Notamacropus eugenii: one gene and its partner. The protein of the gene in region 1 purifies or fractionates together with the protein of each later gene. This does not show direct contact. Links are inferred from orthologs where the notes say so. Each region holds a gene or a part of one and is shown in the gene's direction. Other genes may lie near its edges. The genes, in order: PARD3 and PRKCI.

Region 1 (11,020 bases):
GATAAAAACAATATCTTCATTTTTAGGAGAAATGTAAAGAAGTAATTTAAAATGAAATAATGAATTTAGATGAGCACCATAGCCTAATCAATAGATAGCTGGCCCCTGCGTCCTAAAGATCTGGGTCCAAGTCCCATCTCTGATACATCCGACTGTGACCTGTGGGAAGTCACTTCTCCTTTCAGTGGTGCAGGGAAATCTAAGTTGCAAAGTGAATGTCATTCTATATTGGTAGGAGTTTCCTCACGAGGAATTTCCTATGCTAGTGAAATAGTTGTTGTTGTTCAGTCATTTCTGTTGTCACCCCCTCTGGCATTTCCTTGGCAAAGATACCGGAGTGGTTTGCCATTTTCTTCTCTAGCTCATTTTTACAGCTGAGGAAACTGAGGCAAGTAGAGATAAGTGACTTGACTGGGGTCACACAGCTAGTAAATGTCTGAGGTTACATTTGAAGTCATGAAGTTGAGTCTTCTTAACTATAGCTCTGGTACTTTATTCACTATACCGCCTAGCTATATCTAGTAAGAAAGAAAGTTAACTTTAAGAAAATTGTACTCTGTCTCTATTTTGGTGCAGATTTCACTAATTTGAAACTTGCCTTGAATGTTTACTAGCCATGTGATCCTGAGCAAGTTAACCTAACCCCTCTCAGCCTTAGTTTCCTCATTTATACAGTGGGGCTAACAACTGCATTTGTGTGATAGGATTGTTAAGGATGGGGCCTGCACTGGTATAGGGAACTACCTGGTGAAGAAATTCCATCTCCTATTGCAGACTAGCCCTTGAGTTGAAGTTTTTGGTTTTACCAAGTTTCTTTGAGGCACTGAGAAAGGAAATGATTTTCCCAATCACCCAGACCATTTGTTTCAGAGGGAGTCAATCAATTAACATTTTTAAAAACACCTACCATTAGCCAGGAACCATCTAATTACTGGGGTGCTTTGCTAATCACTTGTAGATCCTAAAGCTAGTCCTTCCTGACTTCAGGGAAGCTCTCTAGCCCTTTCTCTGTGTCCTCCCTCATAGGATTATGGAGAGGATCAAACAAGAGAAATTTTATAAAACAACCCGTTTTAATATAATATGCCACCAGTAGTGTTTGGGTTTGCCACTTTTTAATAGTTCTTTGTGGAGCAGCATGGAATAGCTCATGGTGTTGGAATCAGGAAGACCTGGTGACCATGCTCATTGTGTAACTATGAGGACTGCATGGCCGTGGGCAGGTCCCTTCACCTTGGAGTGTCCCAGGCAACTCTGTAAAGAGAGAGCTGATCTGCATCAGAGGTAGACATTTCTGAGCTGGGAATTCTCCACAAGGAAGAAATAAAATTGGAACAAGGGAGAAAAATTCCCTCACATGGTGTGATATATGCATGTAATTGTTCAAACAAAGCATGGATGCTGTTACTACAGAGTGGTTCATATCTCACTACCTGTAATCTCCAGTACAGCTGCCATGATTTCTCATACCTACTTTCTCTTAAGACTCAATGTCCGATTCTTCAGAGGCTTGTCATCTAATATTTTTTTTCTCTCACTTTTCTCTCACTTCTCTCTGTAAACCCCTCTCCCCTCCCTCCTCCCCGCCCCTCCCCCCCCCCCCCCCCCCCCCCCCCCCGAGTGTGTAGATGAACATTTAAGGCCATTTTTATAAAGAACTCTTCCTAGGGCCTTGACATCATGAGATTTGGCTTCTTAAGACTTCTCCTGTACACAGTCTTCATCCTTTCTGCTACACCTAGCCTACTCCCAGATGTGGATGTTACTACTAGGTTCTCTCTCTCTCTCTTTCTCTCTCCCTCCCTCCCCCTCCCCCCTTCTTCCCCCTCCCCCTCTCCTCCCCTTTCCCCCTCCTCCTCCCTCTCTCTTCCTCTCTCTCTCTCTCTCTCTCTCTCTCTCTCTCTCTCTCTCTCTCTCTCTCTCTCTCATATATATATAATATATATTCACCTGAAATGAGTCCAGAGAAACAGGGCCAGTTAGCCCCATCACCTGTGTTGTGTAGTTATTGAGTACTTTCACCTCCCAATACACTAGGACTTAGGATGCATTTATTACATGCTGCGTTTGAAAGGTTCTTCATTGAAACATCCGTATACAAGATGAAAGCCAATGATATTTGTTTGGGTTTCTGATGTTGTGCAAGTTTCACAGATACCAGAACTTTTTCTGCCCCTCCTTCTTTATGTGGGGTGTGACTGAATGCTCAGAATTTTTATTGTAGATATAGAATTAAGTAATTGTCGTTCTTGTAATGATTTTGTTTCCTTTCTGGTCTTGACTAAGTGAAAAATTACTAGGACTTCCCCAATTCTCCAGTCTCACTATGAGTGTTTTATTTCAGGCCATGATACTATGATGTTTCTCTGAATTATAATCATCATTCTTGGATGAAGACAAATTACTCTGTATCAATTGCTCAGTAGACTGGAGTTTAATTGGTAATTTGTGAATATTTCAAAGGGTTCTGGTGGTGAAAAATGGCAACATAGTTTAAGTCTTTTAAACAACTTTTGGAGAAAAAAAAATTTGAACACATGATAATGTAGCCCCTAGTAGTGTTTAAAATACATTCTCAGTTATCCATATTGGATTTTTTTAATTTCATGTTCATTATTTATACTACTGAAAATTGTACACTATTTGTATACTATTGTGTATCTATTGAAAATTAGTGTAACAGATTTCCTAAGCGCAACTTGTTTTGATGCCATTTAAGTTGTACTTGGATCCAGCAGGACATGTTTTGCAAGAATCCTAGAAGTTCATGGTTCAGGTCTATGTGGGCATAAAACTCAAGTGCTTACATCACAAGAATATTCTCATAGAAACTACATCAATCCAGCTTAATTAATAGGTTTACATTAGGGATTCTCAGTCAGGAAAGATCTCAGAACTTATGCTTTGTGTATGTATTTATTCATAATATCAGTACTAATTAAAATTCATTAGCATTATTACCCAGCTGTGATGGGGATGGACAAGGACCTGTTCTTGAGGATTGCCCAGAATCTGCTAATTTAGAATGTATGTAGGGCCTGAAAAGGAAAGAATGACCAGGAAGAAACTGCATAATGTGAGGGCCATGTAGGAAACAGGATTCCTGTGTAATACGGGGCAGATTTAAATAGATTGCTGTCTTACTTACCTGAGCAGATTTGTGACCTCAGTTGTCAGACAAGTTTTGTGTTTTCCTTGTCTAGTCTTGTTAATTTACTGTATGTATCAAGGCTTCCATAAACAGGAAGAACTTCTGGAGACCAGACATTGATATATGGGGCAAACAACCAGACCTTGGGAAGGGTTCTTTTGTTTCTTAGAGATAGAACTTCTTATTTTATTGGATTATTTCTTTGAAAATAAAACCCTCAAGTACTTCTGGAGGGTTTTTTTTTCAAGTTTTTAATGGCAGATTTTCTTCTCAGTTAACATTGTTGTTTGAAATTTTCTTTACTTTTCCACATCACAAATTTGGATCCATGTTTCTGTGGCATATTGTTGGCCTGCTTAGGACAGCTGGTTAAAGCATTGTAGAAAGAAGGTAATTTTCCCAGAAGAAATCTGATCCAGTTACCATAGACTAGCCAGAGACTGTTGCTGTAAGCCTAATGTGTGCTTTGGATGGCCAAAGGCACTGGGTTAGAGCTTCAATCCATCCCCAAATCTGGTTCAGTTAGCAGAAAGCATATTCTCCAGTGGAAAGAGTTCTGAACATGAAGTCAAGAGACATCCAGGTTTGAATCCTGCTCTGACATTTACTGGCTGTATGACGCTGGGCAAATCATCTCATCTCTTTGACCACTGACTTCCTTACCTGTAAGATAGAAACAATATTTGTAATCCTCTCCTCACTGGATTGCTCTGAGAATCAAATGAGACACTGCATGTAAAATTCATTTTTTGAAAGTGGAGGGACTAGACCTGTGATTCCATTGGTGTTGGAAACTCAGTGACGGACCTCACTCTTCTAATGCAGATTCAGACCTCTGTAAGATAATAGTGTGGGAGAGGTATGTGAGCACTGAAAGATTAAGTGACAGAATGTAGCAGAAGTAGGGACTTGGAACCACCATGTTTCCATGACTGGAACTCTGGTTCTCTATAGACAATTGAACTACGTCTTCAAACTCTTTGCAGAGCTTATAGTGCTAGAGAAATGGCAGATATTATTGTTATTATCAAAACATATACAAGTATCATGTTATTCCTTACTATTCACCAAACAACAACTATCTTTGGGAATCAGTTTCTTTGCCACAAGATTCCCCTCTAAAGTTCCTTTTTTCCCCATACATATCCCATCAATCCTCAAGGGATTATATCCACCAAATCTCTTCAACTAACTCTTCCCTGACTTTAGCCTATAGTAGTTTCTCTCTGTCCTTAAACTCTTACAGTGTCTATATTCAGTATCATTTATTTAGTGCTCATTGTGTACTATTTTTTACTGTTAAATTTCTTTCTCAGTAATTAGATGAAAAATTCCATGAGGTCAGGGACTGTGCTTTATAGGATGTGCAAACTGAGACCAAGAGAGGTCACAAATCAAACAGGCAATAAATGGCACTCAGGGTTTGAATTTAGTTCTTTGGGTTCTCTTTGGTTCTCTTTTTCTGCAGCTAGAAAAGGAAAGTATTAGACTAGATTACTTGTAAATTTATGATCATATTCAAATTGTACTTCTCTTTCCATTACACCAAACTGCCCCTCAATGAATAACTTAGCACTTTTCTGTTGTCTGCACATTGTTCTTCAAAATGTTTGAGGAGTGGCCTGTACTTCTGCCAATTTCCAGGTAGAGGGTGGCCCTCATATTCAGGAATATTTAAGCAAAATGAGTGATGTCAGTAGACATAAAGGATACCAGGATACAGTATTGAATAGCACTTTGAAATATACTACTGTGAAAATGTGAGAAAAACCAGCGTCCCAGGTGTCCAGGACTACTCTGGCTTTCTGGTTTGGTTTTCTATTTTGCTCTGGCAGTGGTTTGTTCTGATTATACGCTGATAGGAAAAGTGTTTGTTCCTTTTGCTGAAGGTACAAATCCTCAGAGATAGGGTGAACTTCTTGGAGATTTTCAGTCATTGCAAAATTAGATAATGTAATGATAGCACATTTTTTTATAAACAGCATTGAAAATCTTACCTACTTTTAATTTTATTTTTTAATTGAAACTTATTTTTCAATTAACAAGCACTTCTCTCCCTTCTGCTTCCAGTCTCCTGGGGGGAAAACCTGGCAAAACTCTTGAAGCAAATATACTTAGTCAATCAAAAGATTAAAAAAAAAATCACCTTCTATGCGCCAGGCACTGTGCAAAACACTGTACAATTATTATCTCATTTGATCTTCACAACAACCCTGTGAGGTCGGAGCTATTATTATCCCCATTTTACAGATGAGGTTAAATGATTTCCAAAGCAAATTCCCACATTTTCCAGGCCCAGAAATAGGTTTGACCCTTTAAAAGAGCCTATCAGGTTTTGCCTGTCTTTGAAACTATTTATTCCTCAGTGTGTTTTGCCTTATTTTCCTTCCTCTCCCTTTTAAATTTCCCATTAACATTTTATTGCTGCTTGATATATTCTGTTCCACATGTTAATTAAAGATTGTGTAATGATGCTTTGACTGAATTCTCTTGGCATCAGTTTCACTTAGCATACATGCTGTTTTTTATTGGGGTAACTTTTTAAAACTATTAAAATGTTAACATGGTTTTGTATTAACAGGATTGATATTATTTTGGTGGAATCAAAATTGTTGTGTAGCAAAAACAATGAGTTATTCTGAGGGGGTCTGATACTGAAATATCTCAACAAATAACTTAGCTGATGACATGGAAAACCATGAAGACATAGATAACCAGGCATTTTGTAGGACTAGAAAGAAGTGGTTTTGGTGGTAGAGGACCTTGGTTCAAATGCTGGCTGTTGCTTACTATTTCTGTGACCTTGGTCGAGTCACTTAATTTTTCTGAGCCTCAGTTTTCTCATCTGTAAAATGAGGGGTTTAGACTAGAGAGCCTTGGAGGTCCATTCAAGCTCTAGATCTGTGGTCCTTTTATCCATTGTCAGACCATTTAAAATTGATGAGATTCTTTTAGGGCCATTTAGAAACATAGTATTAAGACAGATTAGAAGACAGATATTTGTAATCCAAATGTCAATTTAGCTGGCTTTAGGTGAAACCAAGTCATACAACCAACATGTTTATCAGTGTCAGTGGAAGAGATCTGGTTGCGGAGTTAGGGACTTGGTCTCATTTTTGGTTCATATCCTGGTAGTGCTTGCTTCTTACTATTTCTGTATTTTGGGTCAAATGACTTGTTCTCCCTATTGTTCCCTCCAGGATCCCATGTCCAGTGTGTGTGTTTGGGGGTAGGATGTAGTCCATGCAGTCAAGGATATTGCAATTTAATTGGCTGTGATGAAAGTAAAACTTAACAACCACAAAGGGTTATAAATTATGAATACAAGTAGTGCAGACAAGAAATATTAAAGGAATTCAGCAGGGAAGTCACTGTTGGTTGAAGTGATTAAGGAAGGCTTTGAGATTGATAGAAGATTTTAGCTGAGCCTTGGAACATGGGGGAAAGGAGGAGGGCATTTCACACATTCCTCTCCACCCTCCACTTTGTATGTCTCAGAAGTACGTCACAGAGTACAATAGTTTTGGCCTTTCTTCCGCTGGTGGAATTCTGCTATTTTGCCATAGTCCTGTTTAAATGAATTCTGCTCTTACCTGAGCTGCTCTTAGCTCTTGGCAAATCTTTTGAAGATACAATCACAGAATCCTCCCTTGATGATGACAGGAACACCTTAGGAAGGAGAAGGTAGCTCCGCCTCTGACATCAGCAGGCTTTGAGGGGGAGTCAGGGATGGTCCCTTCCATCCTCTCAAGTAACTCTGACTTTACAGTCCGTATCAATGGAAACCATTCTGACTCTTGGCTAGATCTCAGCTTTATGATGTTATGTTGTTGTGGAACACTAACCAAGCCATCTGGGACTGCTGGATGTTATGGATGTGAATATAGGGTCCATCATGTGCAGCTGGATAGCTTCCTTCCCACCATTTCCCAAAGGACCTCTGAGGTAGGCAGAAGTCTAACATTTTGTTATTTTTCAAATTGGATTCTGACGTTCTCATTATTCACTAGTCTGTCTGTCTGTCTGTCTGTCTGTCTGTCTGTCTCTCTCTCTCTCTCTCACACACACACACACACACACACACACACACACACACAGAATTTCGCACCACCGTTGCCATTTCATTGGTACAGGTAACTCCCTGCACTAATGCATAAACATATAGTTTAGGGTCTTTAACTTGCTAATGGTAACAATGGTTGGCAAAAGGCAGAGAGAGCACTTGAAGTCTGGTCTTCACGACTGCAAGGCTTATCTCCTGCTTTGTCCTCATCTATGAAAACCCATTAGGATTGTTTCTGACGTTTTTTAGTTTGGAGTATCCACGTGCGAGAGATGAGTCATCAGCATATCTAAGAAAGAGAAGGCCTTTTTGAATAGGAAATGCTGGGGAATGAGATGCTTGTTGGAATTTTTTAACTTTCATACAGAGCTGTTTATCATGTATCATTGAGGGGTTTGCTTTCTATGCCAAAAAATTCCTCTAGATGCTTAAGTCAGATTCTGTTGTATATTAGTTAAAAAGTAAATATGCAAAAGTATATTTTCTTTTGACTATGTGCCTAGGTTAGGTTGTGAATAACCTTAGGGAATTGGTTAACTAGGGTTATTTCTTTTATAAATGTTAGATGAAACATTAAACTTTTATTGTTTGAAAAAACACACCTTATAACACTTTCACCATGATGTTCCTGGGCACAAAACCCTAGTAACAGAATAATTGGTATCTGATGAGATTTTTAACTCTTCATTGGAAGAGATCATGGCTTATGTTAATTTTTCTATTTTTATAGGACCCAGCACAATGCTGACACATAGTAGGTTTCCTCTACCACACAGATGTGGTCATTTTCCCAAAGAGGGTAACGTTGCTGATAGCAATGAAAAGTATACAGCTCAACTAATTTAGGGGAACATGTAAGGCTGAAAGAGTCACCTAGGGCAGTGCATAAACCCCTAGACTCTAAACCTGCCAGCCCCACTCAGTCACCTCTTTACCTAAATCTGTGTGGAACTGAGTTCTGGTTGGTTGGTTTGTTGGATGTTGTTCTTCTTTGTTTCTGAAGAGGACCAAAATGACATCACCATGATAAAGTGAAGTTTCAGTGTGTCTGACTGTGGCTGGTCAGACCAACATGATGAGCTTGAAATGCTCTACCACAGGTTGGGCACAGACAGTCCGTGTGAATATTTGGAACACTCCAAATTTGCGCATCCTATGTTTACTTTGTGCTATCTCAATTCTGATTTGCTCATACAGCACACCACCCTTTCTGATGTGGGCATGCCATGCTGTGAGTGGTCCTGTACCATTGTTTGAAATCCGAGAGCTACATAGACCAGGTGTGGCATTCCTGCCCTGATCTCTCATTCATTTTCTCCTTTCTTACTCTTGAATTCTGTTTGATTTTGGTATTGACCTCTCCTCCTAATCTGGGTACTGCTTTCTGTTTCTGCCCTCTCAGTTTAGTTTCCTGTGAGGAACTTCAGTTATATGTGATCAAGCAGCTGTCACCTTCCTTTCCTCCACAGACTTCAAGTGGGTCCCATAAGAGGTGCTCAGCACCAACTTATTCTGGGTGCTCTCCTTATTCCCATAACTGAGCAGAGCTCAGAAGAATTGCATAGTGGATACTATACAAAATATTCCACTTGAGTTTATATTTCTTTTTAAGACCTTTGCCTAGAATAATTGAAAATTAAATGTTATTTGTACTTCCTCAAGTTAATTAAAAAAATTAGGTGGACATTTATCTGCTATTTTCCTTTATTTTCCTAGTTGACTACAGCTTTTATTTTGGACTCCAATGGACTATTATTCCTTTTCTATGGGTTCTTTAGCCATTGCTACTGTGGAGGAGAGACAGAGCAGTACAATGGAAAAAGTTCTGGATCTGGAGTTAGAAGACCTTGATTCAAATCCCATCTTTGGCATTGATGACTGTGGTCAAGTTACTTAATTTCTTTGGGGCACAGTTTCATTTGGAAGTGAGGACGGTTGAACTGGACGGCTTCTGAGACCGCTCTTTTTACTATAATCCTAAGTGGGTTGGTAGAGATCAAGACTAATTTCATGTTCTTGTGGGATAGAGAAGTTCATACTCAAAGGTGTCTCTACATCTAGAGAGTAAATGCATTTTTTTAAAAAATTGGTTTTGGATGGATTATGTGGCAGTGCTTTGTGGGTATACATCATATCATGTGTAAATTTTATGGCATACTTGCCCATCTTTTTCCTGTCTCCTATCGGTAAAACAGGTTGTTTTTAAACTTTTTAAAAATCAGATAATATCTCTTGCATCTGTCGCATCTTTTCCTCCCACTACTATCATCATTGTTCCAATCCATCTTAGTTCTTCTCTGGGTTGCAGTTTCAGTTTCATACTTAGTCTCCTAATGTCCATCCTTCACTTCCATGTGCATCTTTCCAATACACAAGGTCTAGCCTTGAAATTTCCTTGTTAAAAATAAGGGTTTATATCTGGGTAAGATTCTAACCACTTGGACTGACATTCAAGGCCCCCAATAATTCACCTCCAATCTACCTATCCAGTCATTTCATTCTCTTCCCCTTCACACTCTACATCTTAACTAAGCTGCAATATGGCGCCTGATCTCTTCCCGTAGTATCCTGGTACTGGAATCCACTATTTCCCTATCTCCCCTATTTTGAAAGAGTTTGTTATGATATGGTAGAAAGTGTCCTAGTCTTGAAGAAAGTGATTTGGATGTTGACACCAATGGACAAGTCACACAACCTTTTATGAGCTTAAGTTTCCTTATCTGTAAAATGCAGGTAATATTAGCTCAAATAATTATCATACAGCATTTTTGGCATGTGAATAGTCCACTTCTATAAAGTATCTTGTAAATTTAAAAGCAAAAGGCATTTGGTATTATTTAATCTAAATTCACAGGGTTGTTAAGCATTTTGCCTATTTTAAAACCTTATACTTAATGAAATTATTATGATTATTGCTACTAATAATTATCATTGAGCTCAATCCTTGTCTTTAAGGTCCAGTCTTTAAGGTTTAGTTGTTTTTCAGCTATGTCTTACTCTTCATGACCACATTTGGGGTTGTCTTGGCAGAGATACTGGCATGGTTTGACATTTCCTTTTTCAACTCATTTTACAGATGGAATCTGAGGAATCCAAGGCAAACAACATTAAGTGAGTTGCCTAAGGTCACCACCTACTAAGTATTTGAGACCAGATTTGAACTCAGGAAGATGAGTCTTCCTGACCCCAGACCTGGTGCTTTATCCATTGCACCAACTAGCTGCCCCACAGTCCAGATTAGGTGTCACTGTTTCAAACTCCGTGAAGGCTTTCATAATCACCTTTCTGAACATGATTTATCTCTTCTACTTCTTATTTCACTTAGTCTTTACCTCACCATTGTACTCACTACATTTTGTCTAGTGAACAGGCCTTATTTTTATTGGATTTTAAGATCTTTGAGAGAGAACTATTTCTTCCATGACACAGGCACTTAAATGTTTGTGGAATTGAATTGAGTTAGTGGTGTGGATAAATGTTTGCACAAAAGTCAGGTTTATCAGACTGATAGAGCTGATGTGGTAAACTTATATTAGGTGGCAGAATTGGGATCTCTAGATATCCTTGCATGAAGGGTGGAATATAGAAAGGTACATTTTAATGGGGATAAATGCAGTGTCCTACTCAATTTCGAAACAGCCATTGTGAAGTTTCAAGTTAGGTGGAGCATCTTAATAGCAGTCTTTATACAAGACTTGAGCAGTGTGATGTAGCAACCAAATAAATTAATTTAAAGCTACTTGTGTTAATTGAAGATTAGTGTCCAGAGAAGTCAACCAGCATTTATTAAGCTTTTACTGTGTGCC
Region 2 (10,611 bases), on another chromosome or scaffold:
CCTTAACCAGAGAACTCCAAGTCCCAGAATCCCGTTCGGAAACTCCAACCCTGGCGGGCGCTTTGATTCCTTCTGACTCCGGCCGCTCTCGGCCCCCGCCCCCCCCTCCTCCAAGGATGAGCTGGACGGAACTATCCGGCCAAGAGGGGGTAACTTACTACCTCTGGGCTCTGCCGCCACCTCTTCCTCGCGATTTCGGAGGAAGGATGTGTGACAGGATGTGGATAGAGGGGTTTAGAATCTCTCCAGTTTGGGGCTGCTACGAGGTGGCCTCTCCCGATGGGCCGGGAGGTACGGCTCCTGAGTGGGTCCCCCCTCCCTGCGAGAGTGGTTCAGCCCAGAGGCGGCCCTTCCCGGCGGGGGCCGGAATGGTGGCTCGGACGGCCCCTCCCCGCCCCGCCCCACCCGGGAATGTGGACGCTTGGAGGGAGCGCGGTGGGCGGGCCGGAGGGAGGCGCCGAGGCGCCGGGGCCAGGGCGGAGGAGGCCGGCGGCGGTGGCGGCCTCGGTAGCGGCGGCTGGGCAGCGGCGGCGGCTCTCGGCCAGGCTCCCCGCGGCGCGGCCGCACCGGCGCGGGGCGGCAGGGAGATGCCCACGCAGCGGGACAGCAGCACCATGTCCCACCCGGGCCCGGGCGGCGGCGGGGGAGGGGGCGGCGGCGGCGGCGGCGGCGGGGACCACGCGCACCAGGTCCGGGTGAAAGCCTACTACAAAGGGTGAGTGAGCGCGGCCGAGCCGGCATCGCCACGGAGCCCCCGGGGGGAGGGGCTGCGGCGTCCTCGGGCCCCCCCCGTGGCGAGGGGGCGTCCTCGGGCCCCCCGGAGCCCGCAGTGCCAGGGGGCGTCCTCGGGCCCCCCGGAGCCCCCCGTGGCGAGGGGGCGTCCTCGGGCCCCCCGGATCCCGCGGTGCCAGGGGGCGTCCTCGGGCCCCCCGGATCCCGCAGTGCCAGGGGGCGTCCTCGGGCCCCCCCCGTGGCGAGGGGGCGTCCTCGGGCCCCCCGGAGCCCCCCGTGGCGAGGGGGCGTCCTCGGGCCCCCCGGATCCCGCAGTGCCAGGGGGCGTCCTCGGGCCCCCCCCCCGTGGCGAGGGGGCGTCCTCGGGCCCCCCGGAGCCCGCAGTGCCAGGGGGCGTCCCGCCTGACGGAGGCCCCCACATAAGGAGGCTGCTCGAGATGAAGCCCCCAGGGCCGGGCCGGCTTTGCCCTGGTCCCCCAGAAGTTTGGATCATTTGGATCCGTAAACTTGTTTTTTTCTCATTGAAATTATTTTATTACTTTTCACTTTTCCACCCTCACTTCCACAAGTTCCAAATGTTCTCCTTCCTCCCCAGACGGGCCGCGCACGGATAAGCATTTATTAACCACCTGCTGTGTGCCACCCCTGCCCTCCAGGAGCTTACCCCCTGCTGGGGGAGCCCACGTGCAGGGCGCTGTGTACAAACAAGCGGGGACCCATCCATGGGAAAGAACGATCGAGGACCCCTGGAATGGAGGGGGCGTCGGGGGGCTGGCCGGCGTGGGCGGGACTTCCAGGAGGGGCGTTATTAGAGGAAAGCCCCTGGCCTTATGCCCTGACCATCCCCTCCTCATCCAGAGCCTTTGTTTCATTACTGGTATGTGAGAAGGAGCGCTGTGACCTCTGGGCCTCAGTTTCCTCATCTGTAAAATGAAAGGGGTGCACTCTGCCTTGGTTCTCAGCTTTGGATTTAGGGTGCCCGATTCCCCAGCACCCGGTGTGGGGATCGTAAGTGTGGGCAGAGACCTGGAATGTTACCATGTGAGGTGCTGAGGGCTTCCTTTTTTTATCACTCTTGATCCCCTGTGCCTGGCAGTACAGGAGATGGGCTTGGGGGTGTCTGGAGGATCTTGGCCTTCTCTGCTCTCCACCTGGACCCTCAAGGAGCGCCTCATGGCTGGGTCTGCTGTAGGCTGTAAGGCCCTTGAAGGTCAGCTCGCTCTTCTGTCCTCAGCATCAGAGTGCCCGTTGGCTGGACTGGCCATGGCCTGCTTGTCAAGGTGGCTGGGGTGGGCTGGCTCAGGGGGTGCTGAGTCTCTCAAGGGGGCCTGGGTGGGGTTCCCCTACTGCATGGGCAGGAATAGGCCTTGCTTTGGGCTGGCATGTGGCAGGAGTTTCAAATGAAGACTTTGAGTCTGGCTTGCTTTCCCTTGGGTCTAGGCTGCAGGACCAATTTAGACTGTGGTAAGCTGAAGTGGGCATGCCTGAAGTCATACCCAACAAAAGGAAAAGCCACCAAGTTACGCACGTGGACTTTACCTGAGGACGGCCATAATAAGTTCATTACCTGTTTGGGGCTGCCAGGGATTTCTGAATGGTTGAGTGAATGATGCGATCTCCCCAGATTTAGGAGGGATTTGTTGAGAATGGTTATTTGGGGAGCCCCTCCCTGGTGTTGCTGGCTTTCCAAGAACTTGGTTTTAGGATGAGAGCCCTGCCAGGTGAGAAGAAAACCATCCCACACCTCCTGGCACTGAAGGTAATTCCGTGGGGCTTTTCTTATCTCATCACCTTAGCTAATGTTGGCCCATCTCCCCTAGGGGAAAAGAGTTCAGCCGTGATACTTGATTAAAGAATGTTGTAACTTTAGGAACTTTTCTTCTCCCCCAAATTGAAGACTTCCAGTTCAGTTGAACAGCTTTCACTTGGTCGTTGTTTTGTGAGGTGCCTGCCCTTGTGGCTGCTGTTCACTGCTGAGACCAGCTTGGGGGTTTTCCAAACAAACACCTTTACCAGTGTGCTTGTTGCTTATTTATCCAGGCAGAAGTCAGTGGCTTAAAAAAAAAAAAGGTTGACTGTACAGTGTGTACATTCCGGAATGGATCAGTGAGGATTGTGAATGGGGAACCTGTAAGAGGGAGGTCCTAGTTGCCTGCCACCTCCCTCCTCTGTATTCCAACAAAATCGAGTCCCCACAAATGATTCTTAATGAAATGTTTGGACTTTTTGTTTGTGTGGTTTTGTGAATTCTTACCTTTGGAGTTGTAGCTTCATCTTAGGACTCGTAGTAGCTTAAGATCACATTGAACAGTTCACATGTACACAGACAGAGAAAGCATTACATGCCTTGGCTAAATGTGTGGGTGTTATTTAATGGGCTCTTATTCTTAGGGGAGTTCATGGGATTTTGAGATTTTGCAGCCAGCCATGACTCCCACAGAGCACTGTGGGAAAAACATTTTGTGTGTACGTTTGTCTGAAATGAGACATTGATTTTAAATGTTTTTATTTAATAACCAGATTTACTAAATTCTAGTTTATTTTGAAAGAAACAGAGGTGACTGTGCTTAACAACCTAGGTTGGAATTAAGATCCCTTGTTTCTCTCACCATCAAGGTCAGGAAGGGAGACGCTCATCTGTTCAGGAATGTCTTTGTAAATTCCAAAGCGTGATGACCAATAGGAAGTGTTACTGTTGGCCTGTGGTTTCAGTTTTTTAGGTAAGCTTTCCCCTCCACTTTAAAAAGGGTGACTTTTGCTAAGGTGAGCCAGGAATCTTTCTGACCACAATCACTTTGATCCTTCTTCAGCTGTGATAGAGAGCCATGGTTGAAGCGTCACTCCTGTACTTAAACATTCTCTCAATTGGTCATTTCTCTGCTTCCTGTCCTGAAATCAGACTTAATGAGGACTCTATCTTTATTAGCAATATACCCAGCCAGAGGTTGTACTGTTGAAACGACAATGAGTCACTGAAGGAGCAGGTTACTAAACAGGTTGTCTAACTAGGACACCTTTGACTTGATTTTCATATTTTAAAGAATTCTCTTTACCAGAAGACATTTCCCCCAAGCATGACTGATATCCTCATTCTGAGAGATCAGTGGGTCAGTTGCACCCCAAGGCCCCCCTCTACCCCTCAAGCTGTGTTTCTTTGTAGCAGCTGGGATCATTTTGTAAAAAAAAAAAAAAATGACTCACCACTCTTTTTCCCCAGGAAGAGGACCTTCAAGTTCCTTTAAACTTGATCTTTATGAAAATGTGCCTTCTCCAGATAAAGAAACTTAAACCACACACTTAATTTGATTACTTGTTCTAGTATTTAAATAGGAGATTGGCTTTTTCCTTGTCTTTTTTTTACACACACGGGAGCTTTTCCTTGGATTTCCTTAGTCATTACTTTGTTCGTTTACAGAAGTAGAATAAAAAGTTCTGTTGGTTAGTGAGAGATTAACATCATATAAGCTTTTTTATGGTGAGCTTTGCTTTAGTGGGGCAGGACTTACCAGTAAAATAGTGAGGGAACCAGGTAGATTGCATCACAAAATATACAGGGGGTTTTACAAACATGTTTTCCAAAATTACATTTCTCAGAGTACTCTATACTGAGCAGTCATAATTTTAAAGATTTTCCTGCCTATACCAGCATTGTACAATTAGGAAAACATTGTTGAATAGCTGTGTTTGAAATTGGCCTTGCAAGGAAATATGTAGAATTTTTCTCATATTTGCAAGTCTTGACAAGACTGTTTTTTGTTGGTACATTTGTTTTCTGACTACTTTAGTAACGGCATTAATGGGCAGAGGTCATGTGTCTGATTGGGCTCTCACTGGCCCATTTGGGCCATCTTCTTTTCTCTGTCACCCCTCTGGGAGATCTTCTCACTTACTGAGGTTTTAGGGGGTTATCTCTAGAGTTGACTGTAAGCACTGGGAGTCCAAGGGCATCTAGCCTTCCCTCTCTTCCTTTATTACTCTGCTTCAAGGTCTATTCCGTGAGCATCTCAGCCATCTGTATGCAGGTTAACAGCCTCCTCCACCCCCCCCAGTCTCCTTGACTTGGCTGAACTCTCTCTGCCTTGGGTGAGCTGCTCCGACAGCGGTGCCTGGCTTGTCCATGACATTGCTTCCCATTTCTTGAAATTACACTATATTGCTTTTTATATATTTTTGGACCGCATGACCTAGGGCCAGAAGCTAAACCCTCCAGCAACCCAAGTGATGGACTCAAGAAAGAAGGTGCCACAAGTCTGGTTAAAAAAAAAAGTGTCCATGCTCCCCTCCCTTTTCCCTCCTGGTAGAATGTCCACTCCTTGAGGCCAAGGATTTGATTTTGTATCTCCAGGACCTGCCACAGTGCCTTGTCCATAGGTTCTTAATGTTTGTGATGTTAAAAGAACACATCCAGCACTTAGCACAGTTCCTGGCACATGAGCAGGGGCTTAACAACTATTTATGGATTGATGGCTGTGTCTCCAATACAGAAAGGCCCAGGTAGCCATTGCAGAGTGAGTAAGAAAGGCCCTTGCCAAAGCCTGTTCATTTTTTAGCATCACAATTTTCTGTTGTATCTCATCCTCAGCGAGACCCTCCTGAGGACTTAACCCCCAGGATTCTTATCTAATCTTTGTATCTTTTCCAGAAACTAACTCAGGGCTGCGACAAAAGAGAAATGCTTAATAGATGTTTATTGAATTGGATTTACAAACCCTTTTCCAAGCCGGTAATTACGAGAAGGGAGGGAGAGTCCTCTACAGACAAGCCCAGTGACAGCCGAGGAGTAGATGGGAAAAAACAAACAACGCACAGGGCAGAGACGTGGGACTAACGGTAGAGTGGCCTATAAGGCTTAGAAACAAAAGCTAGAATGTCATTAAATGGACTCCTTCCCACCAAACGGCTTTTCAAAAAAGTGACCTGTGGCCTTCAGAATCCCAGGGTGTTGCTGAAGGAAGATCCAGTATGAACATGAAGATATCATGAAAGCATCCCCCTGCCCCCCCATCAGAGATGTGTATTGGGTAACTCTCCCATGCTTCTGCTGGTTTGTCCAGTGGCATCTCTGCTTTTTGCTGCCTCTTCCCGTGGCCATTCCAGTGTCCTACTCTATGTCCTCGCCTCCCAGGGCCTCTCATCCCTCACTGTGCCTCCTGCTGTGGAGGAGCCTCGCTGAGCCTGCTGGTGATCCCCAGAGGTCTGTGGGGATCCTGTAATCACAGACCCCCTGAGGCCAGCCTGCTGCCCTCAGAGCATGCTTCATTCTCTACGAGGCAGCCTTAGAGATGGGGAGTGTTGACACCTCCCTGCCAGACCAAGGTTCGTTCAAGACTAGAGGAACAAAGTAAGACCTGACTTCCTCTTACTGCTGACAGGGCTGGTTCTCAGCAGAGCCACACCAATCAATGAACGTGGATTCAGCACTTAACGGGCCCTGGGCTCCTCCATGTCCCTGCCCTTCAAGGACTTATACCTTGTCATCTGACATGTACAGAATCAGTAAGTGCATCCCAGGGTGCCTCCTGCCTGGATGGGTGGTGACCGTCAGGTAGGTATTCCAGCAGAACTCCTAACCAGCTGTCTGCCTCCCACCCTGCATGGTGGTACCACTTGCCTTTGGGATGATGATGTAGGATTTTGAGCTGGAAGGAGCCTGAAGAGGTAACTTGAGTGCAGGTCCATTTCACAGGTGAGAAAACTGAGCCACTCCTGGCATCTGTCAAGTCCCAACTCAGTTCTGCTGTTCTAGTAGAAGCCTTTCCCAATCCCCTTAATTCCAGCTCATCTGTCTGATGATTTCTAGTTTATCTTGTATATATTTTTTGTTTCCCCCGTTAGACTGGGAGCTCCTAGGGCAGGGGCTGTCTTTTGCCTTTCTTGCTACCCCCAGTGCTTAGCTCTGACACACAGTAGGTGTTTAATAAATGCTTCTTGACTGAAATGACTGGCCTTGGGAAGCAGCAGAGAGGGGATTCCCACCCAAGGCCTCAGCCTCCAATTGCCCCTGTGCCATGGTGCTTTGTGAATGTTGAGGCAATCCAGCAAGACTGACTCTGGAAAGCATGGGGAATAGGCCTGGACCTGTGATTTCATCAGTGTCTGGAACTCTCAGAGAACATTCCCTCCCCAGTCCGGACGGGCCTCTTCATGTCTTAGAATTGTCTGGCACACAGAGCCTGTGAGTGGAAGGTGTGGACTAGACCCTGGCTCTGGCCAGCTCGCGCTCTCTCTCTCTCTCTCTCTCTCTCTCTCTCTCTCTCTCTCTCTCTCTCTCTCTCTCTCTCTCTCTCTCTCTCTCTATCTCTCTGCCTTGGCTTGCTGCCTTCTTGACCTGTAGTTGCTTAAACCAGACAAGGGGCCCTTTAACTTGCACTTTTCCTCAACTGGCACGATGTTTGTATTGGACACATTTATCTTGGGTGTGGGAGCTTTCTTTGAAGACAGGAAGTTCAAGACCAAGTACAGATTTTGAAGTTGTTTTTTTTTTTAAAGTTGAGAGGAGTTTAAGACAATGAAGAGCTGGCCTGGGTTTCAGTCCTGCCTCAAATACAGAAGGGCAGGTTTATCCTGGGCGAGTGCTGACAATTCTCCGAGCTCAAAAGTTTTGAGAAGGTGCCAGTCTTCATTGGTGGAGGGACTTTGCTCACCTGGAATTCTCTTCCCTCCTGTAATTGGTGGCACAGGAGTAGAGGAGTCATGGGTCATGGGTCATGGAAGCTTGCCCTTGAGGATACTCAGATGGAACCTTGAAGGAAGTTGGTGGATGGGGGAGGGTGTTTTTCTTTTCTTTCTACTATTGACATTAAGATTTATTTTTTTTCAACGTAATAGTACTTTATTTTTTCCAATGTCAAGAGAGTTCTCAGCGTTCACTTTTATAAGATTTTGAAATTTTTTTCTCTCTCCCCTTTCCCCAAGATGGCAAGCAATCTGATTGTAGGCTATACGTTTCAGATCACAGTAAGTTTATTTTGACATTAGTCATGTTGTGAAAGAAGAATCAGGACAAAAGGGAAAAACCACAAGAAAGAAAAAAGAGAAAATAGAATGCTTCTCTCAGCATTCGGATTCCATAGTTCTTCTTCTGCATGTGGATGGCATTTTCTATCATGAGTCTTTTGGAATTGTCTTAGATCTTTGCATTGCTAAGCAGAGCTAAGTCTATCAAAGACAGTTATTTCACAGTGTGGCTGTTAGGTATACAATGCTCTCCTGGTTCTGCTCACTTCACTCAGCGTCTGTTTGTGTCAGTCTTTCCAGGTTTTTCTGAGATCTGCCTGCTCATCATTTCTTACAGCATAGTAGTATTCCATTACACTCTAGTACCACAGGTTGTTCAGCCATTCCCCAGTTGATAGGCATCCCAAGAGGGTATGATTTTCACACATGAGGCCCCCCCCCCCCCCTTCCCCAATAAGGTGGGAAATGGGAGATTGAATGTCCTGGGGAACAACAAAGAAGCTAGTTTGACCAGAAGTAACTCTCAAGCCCATCAGCCCCTGGAGCTGGTGGTTGGGCTTGTGTCTAAGGACTGTCCATTTCTCCTCTGTGTGGAGGAGAATCTGGAGGCAGGTAGACCACCTGGGGGACTACAGGCCCATTGTCCTGATGAACATTTGTAAAACATCTTACAGTCATCATCCCATTTGGAAAATGAGGGGACTTGAAGCTGAGGTATGACTGTTAGTGAAGAAGGTCTTATGAAAGGAGGCCTGACACTTGACTTGCCAGCTGATGGGTTAGTGGGGGTGAGGGAGAGGGAAGCAGTGAGTTTGAACTTAGGGGACTGATGCCCTCAACTGAAGACAATGATGGTTTTTTGGGGGACAGATAAGGAGTTCTATTAGGTTGTGGTGAGTTTGAGAATGCTTGCCATTGGGCAAGTCCCATAACAGTTAATTAGTGATGCTCTGGAGCTCGAGAGAGATCAGATGTGGGTGGCTCCCAACCATGGGAGCTGAAGAGGTCGATCAAGTCAACCAACAAGCATTGATTAAATGCTTACTGTGTGCTGGATCTCTAAGAGAGAAAGGAGAAGAGGCCCTGGGGTTTACTCACCCACAAGGGTCTTTAAGGCCTGGACTTCAAATAGCCCTAATGCTCAGGCAGCCCTTACACATCTCAGGGGTTAGGGGCATAGGCCCCCCCTCCCCCATCTGGAAAATCCACCTAAAAGCTTTTGGTCCTCCTTTTGTGCCAGAAAAGAAGTATTTTGGCTTTGCGGATTTCCTTCTCTTTTGTCTTGATATCATACAAAACTATACATATATTTTATGTGCTTCTTAGTTTCTAAATTTTTCTGTCTTGTCTGCTGGCTTTTGGTACGTCATCTGGGGCTTCTGCAAAACTCCCCCAAATATCCCATTTGATTTCTTATGCTGACCCTCGATCATATGTGGAAGGGATAACTAATTATTGCTTTGATACCAGGATGGGGAAAGACCACAGCCTACCCTCTCCTCTTCCCTCCTTACTCTGGCATCTTTTTTGCATAGCTTTTGGGATGGATTGTTGAGCTGGTAAATAATCCTCCTTTAGAAGTTGGAGCACGTCTCAGTTTATTGTTTTCAGGGAGTTCTTTTTCAGAGAGGTAGCTGAAGAATGAATGAGTACTTTTAAGGTCAAGAACATGGAATGTAAGCATGTGTCTCTTGAAGTATTTTGAGGTTTAATGGGAAAGCCTAAAATTGTATTGAACTGTGTAATTTTAGGGAGCTATGTGGCTAAGCACATTGGGATCTGTTGAAGATCAGTGGTAGGCAAAAACATGCTATTGCTGAAGATGGAATCACAAATAGACATTGGGGGTTCTTAACATAGGTAGTGTCTGTGACATTTTTTTATTTGTTAACATTTTAAAAATTCTGGTAACTGTACTTCATTGTTTTTGTTCTTCTCTGTTAATCCGATGCCTTTTATTTTCTGCAGTTAAAAGTATCTGCTTCTTGAAAGGGTCCCCGGAGTCCTGAAAGGGTCTGAGCCTCAAAGGAAGTGAAAACCACTATTGGGGGCACGTTGGCTGAGGTGACTCACCAGCTGTGTGCTCTCTGCCTTTTTGTTCTCATTAAACCCTGAATACTCTAACCAGGATCTAGTGATAGAGAAATGTGTAAACAAAGCCTTTTCCAGTTACTCTGGGAAAATGTTTATAGAAAATGGCCTTGCATGTTTTAGATCCTGAGACTTAAGGAGCTCCCGTTAGAGGGACAGAACACACGATTAATGCTGACAGGGTGAGGAGGCCTTCTTAACCTCTTGGTTCCCAGCAAATGCATTCCAGCATTTAGATGGTTTTGTGACCCAAGTTTCAATGAGAACCAAAGCATCTATATATACATATCATTACCTAAGAATAATTTTAATAGCTCCCTCCTTTATACTTCAGAAAAAGAAATGATTGGTTCATGCACAGTAATGCTTTCTGTTTTCTTTCCTTGTAAATGAAAAACTTTAACAAAGAAAAGATTTCTTTCTTTGCCACATGCTGCTCTGTGTTGGGCCTTGTCTACAGCTAAACTTAAGCATATCGCTTTTTTGTTTAAATAGGCACACAGTATCATTCCCCTTTTAATGCCTAATTTGAGGACAGGAATTTCTTTTTCTTTCTCCCTTTTTTTAAAAAAGAGTCAATTCCTTTTCTCTTATCTTTATGTGAAGGGTAATGGGCAATAGTTTTTCCCTTAAGTGGAAAGAAAATTGAGGAACTTCAGAGCCTTTTAAAGGGGTGGATCACTTTGAGTTTTAGGGCTGCAGTAGTATTTGGTTTTTGAAAGGGTTCCAGTTGCAGTGTTTTCATGGGAGGGGAACACTTGTCTCTTGTTCAGTATGTTGCTTTATCAATCTAAGTATCTACCATGTTCCTGGTAGTTGTAGATAATGGAG

The links.
Region 2: the proteins of PARD3 (region 1) and PRKCI purify together in Homo sapiens (affinity purification with western blotting; 5 studies listed by BioGRID and IntAct, with this or other methods). This does not show direct contact. The link is inferred for Notamacropus eugenii from reciprocal best matches to the Homo sapiens genes PARD3 and PRKCI.

What each region holds. Positions count from the first base shown.
Region 1 is NC_092874.1:74,739,151-74,750,170, reverse strand, and holds the start of PARD3 (partitioning defective 3 homolog), read left to right. Parts: upstream 1-6,853; 5' UTR 6,854-6,880; coding exon 6,881-7,096; intron 7,097-11,020. UniProt on the Homo sapiens protein: Adapter protein involved in asymmetrical cell division and cell polarization processes. Seems to play a central role in the formation of epithelial tight junctions. Targets the phosphatase PTEN to cell junctions.
Region 2 is NC_092877.1:353,920,121-353,930,731, reverse strand, and holds the start of PRKCI (protein kinase C iota type), read left to right. Parts: upstream 1-6,101; 5' UTR 6,102-6,134; coding exon 6,135-6,277; intron 6,278-10,611.